3 linked regions of the Sus scrofa genome follow. The main gene of each other region encodes a partner of the protein of the gene in region 2 in a complex. Links are inferred from orthologs where the notes say so. Each region holds a gene or a part of one and is shown on either strand. Other genes may lie near its edges. The genes, in order: PIGY, PIGQ and PIGH.

The links.
Region 1: PIGQ (region 2) and PIGY share a complex: the UniProt entries of both Homo sapiens proteins name them as parts of the glycosylphosphatidylinositol-N-acetylglucosaminyltransferase (GPI-GnT) complex. The link is inferred for Sus scrofa from reciprocal best matches to the Homo sapiens genes PIGQ and PIGY.
Region 3: PIGQ (region 2) and PIGH share a complex: the UniProt entries of both Homo sapiens proteins name them as parts of the glycosylphosphatidylinositol-N-acetylglucosaminyltransferase (GPI-GnT) complex. The link is inferred for Sus scrofa from reciprocal best matches to the Homo sapiens genes PIGQ and PIGH.

The regions. Positions count from the first base shown.
Region 1 is NC_010450.4:130,526,317-130,530,436, reverse strand, and holds PIGY (phosphatidylinositol N-acetylglucosaminyltransferase subunit Y), read right to left. Parts: upstream 2,867-4,120; 5' UTR 2,795-2,866; coding exon of another isoform or gene 2,592-2,794; intron 1,494-2,591; coding exon of another isoform or gene 1,352-1,493; 5' UTR 1,263-1,351; coding exon 1,047-1,262; 3' UTR 454-1,046; downstream 1-453. UniProt on the Homo sapiens protein: Part of the glycosylphosphatidylinositol-N-acetylglucosaminyltransferase (GPI-GnT) complex that catalyzes the transfer of N-acetylglucosamine from UDP-N-acetylglucosamine to phosphatidylinositol and participates in the first step of GPI biosynthesis.
Region 2 is NC_010445.4:41,173,549-41,177,668, forward strand, and holds the start of PIGQ (phosphatidylinositol N-acetylglucosaminyltransferase subunit Q), read right to left. Parts: upstream 2,818-4,120; 5' UTR 2,776-2,817; coding exon 2,639-2,775; intron 1-2,638. UniProt on the Homo sapiens protein: Part of the glycosylphosphatidylinositol-N-acetylglucosaminyltransferase (GPI-GnT) complex that catalyzes the transfer of N-acetylglucosamine from UDP-N-acetylglucosamine to phosphatidylinositol and participates in the first step of GPI biosynthesis.
Region 3 is NC_010449.5:91,314,100-91,318,219, reverse strand, and holds the start of PIGH (phosphatidylinositol N-acetylglucosaminyltransferase subunit H), read left to right. Parts: upstream 1-1,871; 5' UTR 1,872-1,974; coding exon 1,975-2,154; intron 2,155-4,120. UniProt on the Homo sapiens protein: Part of the glycosylphosphatidylinositol-N-acetylglucosaminyltransferase (GPI-GnT) complex that catalyzes the transfer of N-acetylglucosamine from UDP-N-acetylglucosamine to phosphatidylinositol and participates in the first step of GPI biosynthesis.

The sequences.
Region 1 (4,120 bases), on a different chromosome or scaffold from region 2:
AGGGGAAGAATCACTGTCTAAAGCTTCTTTTACACTACTTTAAAATTCTATTAAGAATCAGTTAAGGTTACATTGAGTTCTTAGGCTTCATGAGGGTAAATACTGAAACATTTGTTATACTTCTGAAACAGTTATTGTACTAATCAGTCTTATTGAAAATTCTGGAAAATCAATAACTATTAATGTGTCAAATGCTCATGCCCTTAGTATTGCTAAATAAATAGGTCTCTTATGGCAGAAAAATAAACTGAAATGTGGCTCAATAATCGCCCTAACTAAACTCAACAGGACACAATCAGCTATTTGCCAGTCTTTCAATTCCACCTCTCCTCACAGCACATACTTTCCTGGGAAATTCTGTTCTATTTTGGGTGCCTCTCTAAACATATAATTTCCTTGTCTTTGAATTATATTCTTGTGACCAAAAGGAAAAAAAAAAAAAAACCAAACACAAAACTGCAAATTGTTTTATGGAAAATGTCAATATCTTATTAATAATGTAAGCCATCTGATGCCAAAGAAATGAAGGCAATTTTACCAACTCAGAATTTTGGCAAGTACATGAAATTTACATTTTATTATAGTTTTATATCACACTAGTCCAAATGCATTTCTCTACAATTACTCCCCATAGCTCCTTGGAATTATCTCAGTCATCCTTCACATGTGGCTTTACCAAAGGCTTTGAACCTAAAAACAAACCTACAATTTCGAATTAGTAATTTTTAATTATGAATGGGATAAGAACAAGCCATCAGATGATGGCTGTGGGGGTGCTAATTTCCAACAAGCCACTTTGTTGAAATGTTTCTTCCGAGAGACCAGGTATAAATCAGAACCTTCAAAAAGCAGGGGAAGAACCAAAATACAAGAAAGAAGCCTCTTGCAGCTTAAACGTCACATAGTCCTAAACCTCTGACAAAGGCTAATAAGCAAAGCCTCTTTCCTGCAAAGTCTGGGTTTCCAGTATTTCCATGTGGCGGAGCTTTCGGACACACTCACTCAAGCATATCATGAGTTTAAATACCATCGTGGCTCCGGCTGCGTTAATTATGCCGGAAGAGTTTAATACCCATCCAAGTCCAGAGGTGGAAGAACACGTAAACGGGGATGGTGATGGGCAGGAGCAGACTGTAGAAGCACAGGCTGGCTGTGCTGGTGCAGCCCTGGGGGAAGCTCTCTTCCACGGAGGCGGAGTACAGCAGTCCTCCCAGAGAGACCAGGGGGACAAGGACAGTCAGCGTGGGAAGAGACAGAAACATTCTTCTCTCCCACCCACCACCCGCCACGCTGGCTTCTTCGAAGGTGGATGGTGTTTAGAAAATTTCCTTGTGTTGTGTTTACGTATGACCTAGTGCTGCTTCATTTCTTCTTGCTTCTTATTTTGATGTGTCATCCTAGCTGCCTGTGGTATCATATTAGGAATCCCGTCAATAATCGGATAGGCTATTCCCAGCTCTTCATTAATCAATTCATTTGTCGATGGTTCATATCTGAGGGGCAGAAGAAAACCAAAATGAATCCCGGAAGAGTCTGAGGTTCAATAAACAGTAACATTTATCCAATTCTTCACACAGTTAGAGCCAGAAAAGCAGAATTAGACTGTTTTTCATTCTAAAAGCAGCAGTAGCCAATTCAACCATTTCTCTTAGAAAAGGAATCTCTAATTGTTCCCATTTTAGTCTGTTTCTCTCATTTTCTTTTTCACGTTATTCTTAAGCTATGCCTTAGTGGAAAAAAAAAAAGAAAAGATCTCTCCTTTTCATCCAAATATTCCTTCATGACTCTTTTAAACCCTCAAACGATCCCAGCTAATTTACTACTGGAACAGACACGAGAGGAAAATTCAGCTTCTTCGCTTATCAGAACACCTGCCTCACTGATCCATGAGAAGGAAACCACGGAAGCAGCAATCTACCACCCAAAGGCAGCCACTGATGACACTGCGGTGTTTGCTAGTATTGTCCACGTTCAGGTTTAGCAGCCTGCAACTGCAGAGATGTTTATCCTAAAGAGTCTAGGTGAAAGGTTAAGAAGGCCTTTACAGAACCGGCTGGTCGAGAACTAAAAACCAAAGGGCCGCACACGTAGCTGATGCGCTTAAGATCCTACCCGGCGTTTTCGCAACAATCTGGAAGCTATCACATTTTTCATCGCCTTGCCTTAAAAATCTGAATGCCATGGATTAGTCTTCCGAATCCCGAGTTCATAACCCTGGCTGTACAGGAAGATCACTTGGGATCCTTTCAAGAAAATACGCAGTTGCTCTGGCTCGGCCCCAAGGCCTTCGGATTGAGCCCGGGTGGGGCGTTGCCTAGAGATCTGCGTTTTAAGAAGGATTCCCCCGAGATTCTAAAACGCTGCCGGCGGAGAAGCTGCCCGCCAGGATCCAGGCCTGCGAGTGGCCGGTTTGGTCCGGGAGGCCTGGGGCTCGGCTGGGGCCTCCTCCCGCCCTTCCCGCGGCGGAGCGAGTACCCGGGAAGCTGGCGGGCCCGGGTCCAAAACATGGCAGCGAAGAACACCCGGGTGACCTGAACGTCTCCCCGGCGACAGGGGGCCACCAGGGAAAAGCCGCAGCGGACGAATCTTACCTGAGCGGCTTCTTGGACAGCGGGCACACCAAGAACTCCAGCAGCGCCGGGTCGAAGGCGCGTGGCGGTTTCCCCTCCTTCTTGTTCTCGTCCGCGGACGGCCGCGAGCCCGAAGCGTGCAGGCACCTCCTGGCGACCGCGGACGGCGGCGCGCGTGTCCCTCGCAGCGCTAAGGCGAGCCGACCGCGCGCTCCGCTCAGCATGGTCTGGCCGCCGGCGCGCGGACCTCCGCACCCCCTGGGCCGCTCCGGCCGCTCCAGCCGATCCCGGGGAGTCCCGCCCAGGCGGCCAGGCCCCGCCCCCCGGTGCTCGGGAAACGCTGCCCCCGACGGCTGGAGGCCCGCTCTTTGGTTCCGAGGGCGCTCGGGACCCGACTGCTTTTCCCGCGGCACCGCTCGGTATGGAGAGCCCCGCCTGCAGCCTGGGCTTTCTGCGGCTCTTCCTGCCCGTTTGCAGGTTGCAGACAAAACCCACGCTCAAGTGGAGGCGTCCTGAGTTTTCACCAGGGCCTGTCGCAGGGCCTCCAGGAAGCCAGTGGCCGGACCTCAGAGTCACACAGTGATAGACTTGGACCTCCGTGGTTATCACCAAAAGGAGGTTTCCAACACACTGTCACACTGGGTATGTTAAAAAGCATTACTTGTTTTATGTGTATCTGTCAGTCTTTGCAGTACCACACTTCCTATAACCTTGTTTGGCTTTTTTTTTTTCTCCTTTCATTAAAAAAAATATAAGAACGGGAAAAGAATGGCTTAGTCCTCTTAAACTTAAGATGCCCAGTTTCTTACCCTGGGCTCAATGGCATAATAATAGCACCACTCATTTGCTTCTGTAAATGAGCTTGGAAACCGCAAGGAGTCTAAGTAACTGTGTCCTTTAATTAAGTGGGTGATCCACACAGTGGTTTTTTTCTCGCCCCGCATTTGCTTCTGACTCTCCCAGAAAATGATGCGGATTTGATCTCTTTCTTATAGTGTAGGAGGTAAGTGCCGGGGGTCCGGGCCTGACACCTTGGTCCCAGGTGCATCGTTTACTAGTTGTAGGGCTCCCGCAAATCTCCTAACTCCCCAGCTTTCTTTTCTTTTTCTTTTTTTTTTTTTTTTTTTTTTTTTTGTCTTTTTGCCATTTCTTGGGCCGCTCCCGCGGCATATGGAGGTTCCCGGGCTAGAGGTCGAATCGGAGCTGTAGCCGCCGGCCTACGCCAGAGCCACAGCCACGCGGGATCCGAGCCGCGTCTGCAACCTACACCACAGCTCACGGCAACGCCGGAACCTTGACCCACTGAGCAAGGGCAGGGACCAAACCCGCAACCTCATGGTTCCTAGTCGGATTCGTTAACCACTGCACCACGACGGGAACTCCCTCCCCAGCTTTCTTATCTGTGTAATTAGATTAATTATTGTTCCTACCTCATATAATTCCATCCTGGGGCTTAAAATGTGCTAATGAATGCAAAGAGTATTTAGAAAAATGCCTGTGGCAAATGAATGCTCAGTTAATGGCATATGTTGTCATTTTTATTTTCTCTA
Region 2 (4,120 bases):
GGGAGGGCTCCGCTCAGAGCTGCCGCCGCCGCCGCCACTGTGCCGCAAGCACCACGGGCTGGCTGGCAGCGCCCGACCTGTGGGCCCTGGCCCACATGTGGCCCAGTCGGCCCTGACAGACACATCCACTGGCCGCTGGGCCCACAGGTCGGGGTGACCCAGCTTTGGGTCTGGTCACAAGGCTGGTGGGGAGGCCCGGCTGTCCGTCTTCGGCCCAGGCTGCTCCCACCCCACCCTGAGGCAGGGGCACACGTCCCCCTTCAGAGCCGAGCAAGCTGGGGGGGGGCACTGCACAGAGCTGGGCACAAGGGTGCAATTTTTGTTTTTAAGGACCTGATGACAGTTCTTTGCATACACATAGAAAAACGTACGATCTCATGAACAACTAATGTAAATTAAAAATCTAACAAACCTTGATTTTCTAAGTTAGCGAGAACAAAGACGAAAAATTAAATGGCTGCTGAGCTGAAGGAAATGAGGCAGGGCACCGGCACTGGCAGCTGGCTCTGGCACAGGCGGGCCCAGAAGATGCCTGGGGGCAGGCCTGATGCCCCAGGGAGCCCGCACCCTCCCCCGGGGAGCCTCAGCGCCCAGGGCACAGGCCAGCTGCCTAGGGTTTTCTCTACGACCACCAGACCACTGGAGCCTCCAGCACTCAGCTCTGCCCCCCCTCCCTGGAGCCCCGCCCTCCTCTAGGACCCACTCCCCTGACCAAGGAGGGGTCTAGAAGTTCTCCCACCAGGGGAACAGCAGAGGGGACGCCAGCCTTCCCAGCCTTACAGGACCTCCAACTAGCCTTGGGGAACAGGGGACAGAGTAGGACACACATGTTGAGGACATGCCTTTCCTGAGGGTTAGAGCAGTCTGGGAGGGGCAACAGGTGCAGCTGCTTTCCTCCCGCCAGGTAGTCAGGGCACAGCTGAAGGGGGAGGCCTCTCCCACCTGTGGGTTCTGAATGGAAAGGGTCCCCTGAGTCAACCAGCAGCCAGGCTTCCAAATGCCCCTCTGCCCAGAGACCAGAGAGGGCCAGCCACGCGAGTGTCTCCAGGAGAAAGTCTCTGTGGCCATCAGCAAGGACCAGCTGGCCTTCCTGACCCTTCTGAGGGGCACTGTGAGGACAGAGCCGTTCTGCCTTAGGGTCCTGGCACATCTGGTTGGGTGACCACCTGGGGGACCAGCCAGCCTGGTCCAAGCCTCTCAGCACCAGCCCATCGGACACACCAGCTCAGCCAAATGACAGCATCACACCCTGCCTGGGACTCCTTTCACAGGACCTAAGGAAAACTGCCCGTAGCCGATGTCAGAAACTGAACACAACTGGTGGGAGGGAGTTCCCTGGGGTCTAGCGGTGAAGACCTGGAGCTTTCACTGCTGCGGCCTGGGTTCTGTTCCCGGCCTGGGAACTGAGATCACATCAAGCTGCTGCAGGCCACGGGCAAAAGAGCGAGCAGGGGCTCTGGGGGAAGTGGGCTACACACTGAGTTCACTTTCAGAAAATTCATTGAGCTGTACCTGTAGGTGCACTTTCTTTGTGTGTTTTATGCTTCATCTACAAACTTTTCCCAAAAAAAGCTCCTCTTGTCTAGGGAAGAGCAGAGAGCAAAGGGTGGTGTTCCCGTCCGTGGGGCAGAGAGAGCGCTCTTCTCTTAAATCATGGGGCAAGCTTCCATCCCCACCCCGCCTCAGCCTCTGGGCGGGACCAGCACAAAGAAGGCTCTCAGATCAGACCGCCAGGAAAAGATGAAAGAGCAGGCAATCGATAGCAGAGGTGCAGACGGGAGGGAGCAGGCAGCAACCCCGCGCCTCGAACATCTTTAAAGACTGTGCACAAGCCTGGGAAAGCTGCCTCTGTTAAGAATGACGGTCTGTCCTCTGGGACCCGGCCCGTTCCAGATCCGTTGGGGAAGGCCAATGCGGGCATGCCCGGCGCCTGGCAAGCTCAACTCAGTAGCCTACCTCATGAGGCTGAAGGCCTCCCACCTCTGCGCGAGTGGATCCAGGGCAAAAGCCCAGTTACAACCAGCCAGGGACGTCTCTAGCCCTCCCCTGTGGAGACTCGCGCTCCTCAAGAGCTCACAAGATCCGTTCTTACTCTATGTGTTTGTGTTTAGAACACAACAAGCGTTCAGTAAACAGTGCTTTTCTTCTCTCATTTCAGAAGAAGAGACACGAATCTAGGGCTCTGGGTTTTGCCCTTTACTGCAGTCAGGGACAGCTGTAAAGTGCTGACAGCCGGTTCCAATGACCCTGAATGCCCTTCCAAAGAGTCCACAGCGGGAACCAGGTTGGGCCAGAGGGACCCGGCTGGCCTCCCTTCACCCCACAGGGCCGGGACCAGATTCCTCGCCAGGGCACCCACGCCGCCCCGCCGCAAACGCGGGGCTTGGCGGACGGGCCCCAGGAGGACCCGGCGGGGCCTCACCGCCCTCCCAAGTCTCAAGCCCGCCCTGGCCGGCAGCGTCCCTATTTTACAAATGAGGAAACAGAAGCTCCGAGAAGCAGGAGGCCAGCGCGGCTCCGGAGACCCTCGGGCTCCCGGGTCTGTCGGGCGGCGCGGCGGGAGTCGGGACCACAGGCCGGCGGGGGCAGCTCCCCAAGGTCGCGCCGCAGGACGCTGGCCCGCCCCCTGAGTGCTCACCGGCTGCTCCCCGGGGCCGCCCCCTCGGGCGGCAGGGTCGGGATGGGGTTGGGGACAACGACGGGTGGGCCCGGGCGGACGACGGCGCTCACGGCCCCCAGCCCCGCCGCGGCCGTGCCGCGGGACAGGAGCCCCATTTCCGCCCGCTCCCGGCGTTGCCGCGCTACGGTCCGTCCCCAAATGTGCCCGGGCTGCCCGCCGGCCTCACGCACAAGCGTTCCCCGCATGCAACGTTCCGGACCCTCGAGCCAGTGTGGCCAGAATGACTCCCTTGTTGCCATAGCGTCCCCGTCTGCCCGACCCACGCCGCGCACCTTGGTCCTCCTCACGCTCTGTGCACAAAGCCCTTGTCCCACCTCCAGCCTACCCACAGTGTCCCCAACACCCCTGCCTTCCAGTCATCCACCTTGCCGCAGCCACCAAACCTCTCTCCCATCCCGAGTTTCCTCGTCTGGGGACCCATTAGACCTGACAAATGAGGATCCCCGCCCTCTCCTTGCCCCCCACCATCCAGGTGAAAGGACCCCAAGTCCTGGGTGGGATCTCCCGGCTCCCCTCTCCCAGCATCCTGGTTCCTGCAGGGGCCACGTGAGCTTGGAGGGCCAGCCCAGAGGCTGAAGCCATCCGATCTGATGGCCCCTCCTGCTCCAGGGAAAAATACCCCCAACACCAGCAGCAGCAACTAATGTTTACTGAGAACCGGCAACAGAACTTTCCACACTGACCCGCTAACCCACCGCCACCTCCGCAGAGCCGGAACATATAGGCGGGACCTTGTCAGGCAATGGCCCAAACCACAGACCCCTAAACCACAGTCCTTGTGAGAGGCAGAAGCATCCCTCACCAGCCGCCCGGGCAGGACTAGGCACTGTCCCCTCCCCCTGAAGACCCCCTCACTGGAACTGGGAGCAAGGCTGGGCCCCAGACTCAGAGTAACCCCGCACCTGCCCGCCCCTCCGGGCCTCCTGTTCCTGCTGTTTTTCAGCAGCAGGAGTCTGTCCTCACAAGAACTGTCCCCATGCCCTTGCAGCCTCGTTTGCGGAGGAGGAAACGACGGCTCAGACAGCCTCCTGTGGGAGAAGACGCCCAGGAGCCTGGAGGTTCACAGCTCAGCCACGTGACAGCCCAGGGCGCCTCCAGGGCAGCCCCTCTTCTGCCCCCCCTTACCTCGGCTGAGGCCAGAGAAGCTGCAGGAGGCTCAGAACCTGGGGCGCCTCTGAAAATGGGGGACTGTGAGGGGCCGCGCCCCTTCCCAGACTGCCCTGATGAGCCCAGCCCAGCCACACCCTCCCCGCCGGCTTCTGTCTGATTAGGAGGCAGGGGCTGCGGCGCCAGCGGGAGATCCTGCCTGGGGGAGGGCTGGCAGCTGGCCCAACTCTCCAGAGATCCCCAGGCTTCAGCTGCTGGCCCCGAAGGGCAGGCCTCCTGGGCCCTGGGGGCTGGGAGGCAGGTGATCCCGGCTGCCGAGCAGGACTGAATCCT
Region 3 (4,120 bases), on a different chromosome or scaffold from region 2:
GCTAGATACTTAACCCACTGAGCGAGGCCAGGGATTGAACCCACATCCCCATGGATACTAGTCGGATTTGTAACTCGCTAAGTCACAACGGGAATGCCACAGATGGCCAGATCTCTTCCCCAGTTTCCCTTCAGTAATCTCACAAGCAAACTGCGTAAACAAGATAGCCTCTAAAGAAAGGTCAGAAGAAGTAGATGAGCCTGCACACAGTGGGAGATGTCGACGAATCGGACCGCCTACCTCAGTAATTAACTGAGATTACTTCCCTTTCTCCCTTGAAAACCTTCATGGCCAAACAGAATCTTGGGAGCTGGTCTTGTTATAGGGGTCCACTTTCTCCCCAGATTGCCAGCTTTTGATTAAAGCAATCTGTTTCTACCAGCACTTGCCTCTTGAGTATTGACTTTTTAGCAGCAAGCAGCAAGACTGGAATTTGTCAACAAAATGTGTTATATTTGTCTTTTTAATGTAAAATTTCTTTTTCTTTTTTTTTTTTTTTTGTCTTTTTGCCATTTCTTGGGCTACTCCTGCGGCATATGGAGGTTCCCAGGCTAGGGGTCGAATCGGAGCTGTAGCCACCAGCCCGTGCCAGAGTCACAGCAACTCAGGATCCGAGCAGCATCTGTGACCTACACCATAGCTCACGGCCATGCCACATCTTTAACGCACTGAGCAAGGCCAGGGATCGAATCCGAAACCTCATGGTCCCTAGTTGGATTAGTTAACCACTGATCCACAACGGGAACTCCAAATGTAAATATTTCTTGATCAATTTCACAAAAAACTGCAATAAGATTTACGAGTTCTTTTTGTTGGTTTTTTATTTTTTAATTAAAAAAATTTTTAGGGCTGCATCTGCAGTATATGGAAATTTCCAGGCTAGGAGTAGAATCAGAGATACAGCTGCAGCAACTTGGGATCCAAACTGCATCTGCAACCTATACCACAGCTCCCCGCAATGCTGGATCCTTAACTGACTGAACACGGCCAGGGATCGAACCCAGGTGTTCATGGATACTAGTCGGGTTCTTAACCCACTGGCCACAAAGGGAACTCCTTTGATGGCAGAAGGAAGGGATAATAATTAGACTCATCATCTTCCGCTCTTGCTAACCTCCCAGCCAGGATTTGTCTGCCTACTCAATGCTCCAGGCAGTGGTTTGGGAGAGAGGACACCTAGCCAGTGAGATCTAAACTCCTTACCAAGCCCTATACAAAATCCTCCTGGTTCTGACCGCTACCTACCTCCCAACAGCCGACTGCATTCCTTATGCGTCAGCCTCTCTGACCTTTTGATTCCTTCAATAAGCCGATCTTGTTCCAGCCTCGGGGGCTTTCTTTTTCCTGGTCCTCCTTCCTGGCAAATTTCTTCTCCAGACCTGCCTCAGACCAGTCTGGCACCTTATACTTGTAGCTCCAGTGTCTCATCTCAGAGGATGTCGTCTGTCCTCTTCAAAGTCCTCGAGTAGCCCTGCAGGTCCTATTATTGCCAAGAGCACTCTGAGATTATTTCCATATTGTTTCTCTTAATAGGAAGGAAACTACTAGAAAGCAGGGATTTTGTCAATACTGTTTACCGCTGTACCCCTTCAGCACCTAAAACTACCTTGCACCGGGATGAATGAATGAATGAATGAACAAATACCTGCGGGCTGTCTCCTTGGGCGTACTCTGGCTTAGAAATAGAAATCAGTTTGTTGGGCGAAAGCACATTAACAGCTGTTTTAATCTGCCCGCTGAGGCCTTGGCCCCCTTTGAATCTCTGGGGTAGATAATCTTCAAATCCCTCTGGGCCAGGGCGTGGAAAAACCTAAACCCGAAGAGCGTCCCTCCTGTCGGCGGCGGAACTGCGGCTGCGCGCAGCCGGGGGAGGGGCGTGGCCAACCCCGCTCGGGAAGCTCGCCCAGAGCCGGCGAGAGGACGCTGGAGGGCGCGCCAGACGCCGCGGCGTGGCCTGGTGGAGGCGAGCCGGCCATGGAGGACGAGCAGAGCTTCTCAGACATCTGCGGGGGCCGCCTGGCCCTGCAGCGGCGCTACTACTCCCCGTCCTGCCGGGAGTTCTGTCTCAGCTGCCCTCGGATCTCGTTCCGCTCGCTCACCGCAGTCACCTGCACCGTGTGGCTGGCGGCCTACGGACTCTTCACGCTTTGCGAGGTAAGGCCGGCCGGCCCCTTCCCGCGGGCCGGAGTCGGAGGCTCGGCTTTAGAAGGGTCTTGGGTTGAGCCCAGACCTCTCGCCGGACCCTCCTCCAGTCGCAGGGCTGGAGGGAGGGAACGGGAGGGTTCTGGGGACGCCATTCCGCTGCTGGACAGCTCTCCTCCTTAGGTTTAGTGACGTTTGTGCTCCTGTACTTTATCCCGCTCACGGGCCGCTGCTCTGCTCCCTGGTTCCACCCAGCATACAGATGGAGCTCGTCCTTGCACGACAGTCCAAAACATTAACTTCCCCGTGCTCTCTGTAGTCCACGCGCATGGTCATTCAGGTCCAAGAGTTCAAGAGAACTAAATGGATCGTCATCATCCATCACTTCCACTCCTCAGAGGAATCACTGCTAACAGTACCTTAAAGTCTTCTAGAAACTGCCTGTGCCGCCACAGTAATGTCTTTGCCTCCGTGTGTCTTTGCCTCCGCAGTTCACACAAGCAAGTTAAGAGTTTGATATAGTTCTTCCTAATCTCCTTTTCAAGGCAGCCTAACTCCTCCTCCTCCCGATCCCTTCCCCAAACTTAAATTGTGAAATTTTGGACATGGGTGGTTTCTATGCTCAGTTCTAGACTCATTCCCTTTTTCTGGGCCTCAATGTTCACGTCTCCAAAATGCAATTAATATCTGCCACGCCACTTTCACAGCATTGTGAGGGTCACATGTAGTGGCTTTGTGACAGCCCTCAAATAAAAGGAATCATCCTTATTGTTTTCTTCAGTAATTTAGTTTCGTATGTAGTGCCCTAAATTGAATGTATTATCCCAGGAGTGACCTAACTAGAGCTAAGTACAGCAAGGCTATTTATTTCTATAGTTTGGGTATTGTTTCCCATACTGCATCCATTAATTTGTACCAAATTGCATTGAAAAGCTTGTTTGTAAGTCACTCGAATTGGTTAAGTTGCCAGGACCGTCCTTCCCCTTCCGTAAAAAGATTTAATATATAATATAGCTGAACTTCAATACGAGCTTGAGCTCTGACCATGTAGTCATGTGAGGAAGAGGGAACAGGTATTTTTATTAAATGCCCACCAAGTGCCTGCTGCTTTACTAAATGCCTTGTTTCAACCTTAGAAGAAAATCAAGACTCAGAGTAATAACTTATCCGAAGTGATAAAGCTAGTAAATGGCATACCTGGGTTTCAAACCCAGGGCTGACTCTGAAACCATTTCTTCTCACTACACTATGATGTCTCCTCCTTGGGGAGGGCTTACTTAGGCAAAATTTTTAAATAGGGGAAGTTTGTTATTGTGCCAGCTCCCTTTTGTATGCATTTCTCCCATCCTGGTATATCCCACTTACCCCATCAAATGTCCAGGCTCCGTAACTTCAGCTTCCTTTAAACTCCACTGCAACACTTCTTAAGGGCCCTGTGCACCAAAATTTCTTTTCTTTCCTCCTATTCAAAACTATTAGAGTAATGAATCTCAGCTAGAATGAGAAGTCTGATGAAGAAATTCCTTAAAACATGTGGCTTAACTTCAACCCAAACGAATACTGAATTGTTAGAATTTCAGAAAGAAAAATGAAGTATAAAAAATTGTAGGTAGTGGAGTTCCCATCGTGGCGCAGTGGAAACAGATCCAACTAGGAATCATGAGGTTGCAGGTTCAGTCCCTGGCTCACTCAGTGGGTTAAGGATCTGATGTTGCCGTGAGCTGTGGTGTAGGTCGCAGATGAAGCTCAGATCTGGTGTTGCTGTGGCTGTGGTGTAGGCTGGCAGCTGTAGCTCCGATTAGACCCCTGGCCTGGGAACCTCCATATGCCGCGGATGCAGCCCTAAAGTGCAAAAAAAAAAAAAATGTAGGTAGTAATGAAGTTTGGGGCAAGGATTACTTTCTAGAAATGCTAATATGGGTCAAATCCCCTAAGTATATCATGTTCTTCATCCCTTCTTTCCTCCCAGTTTTTGAAC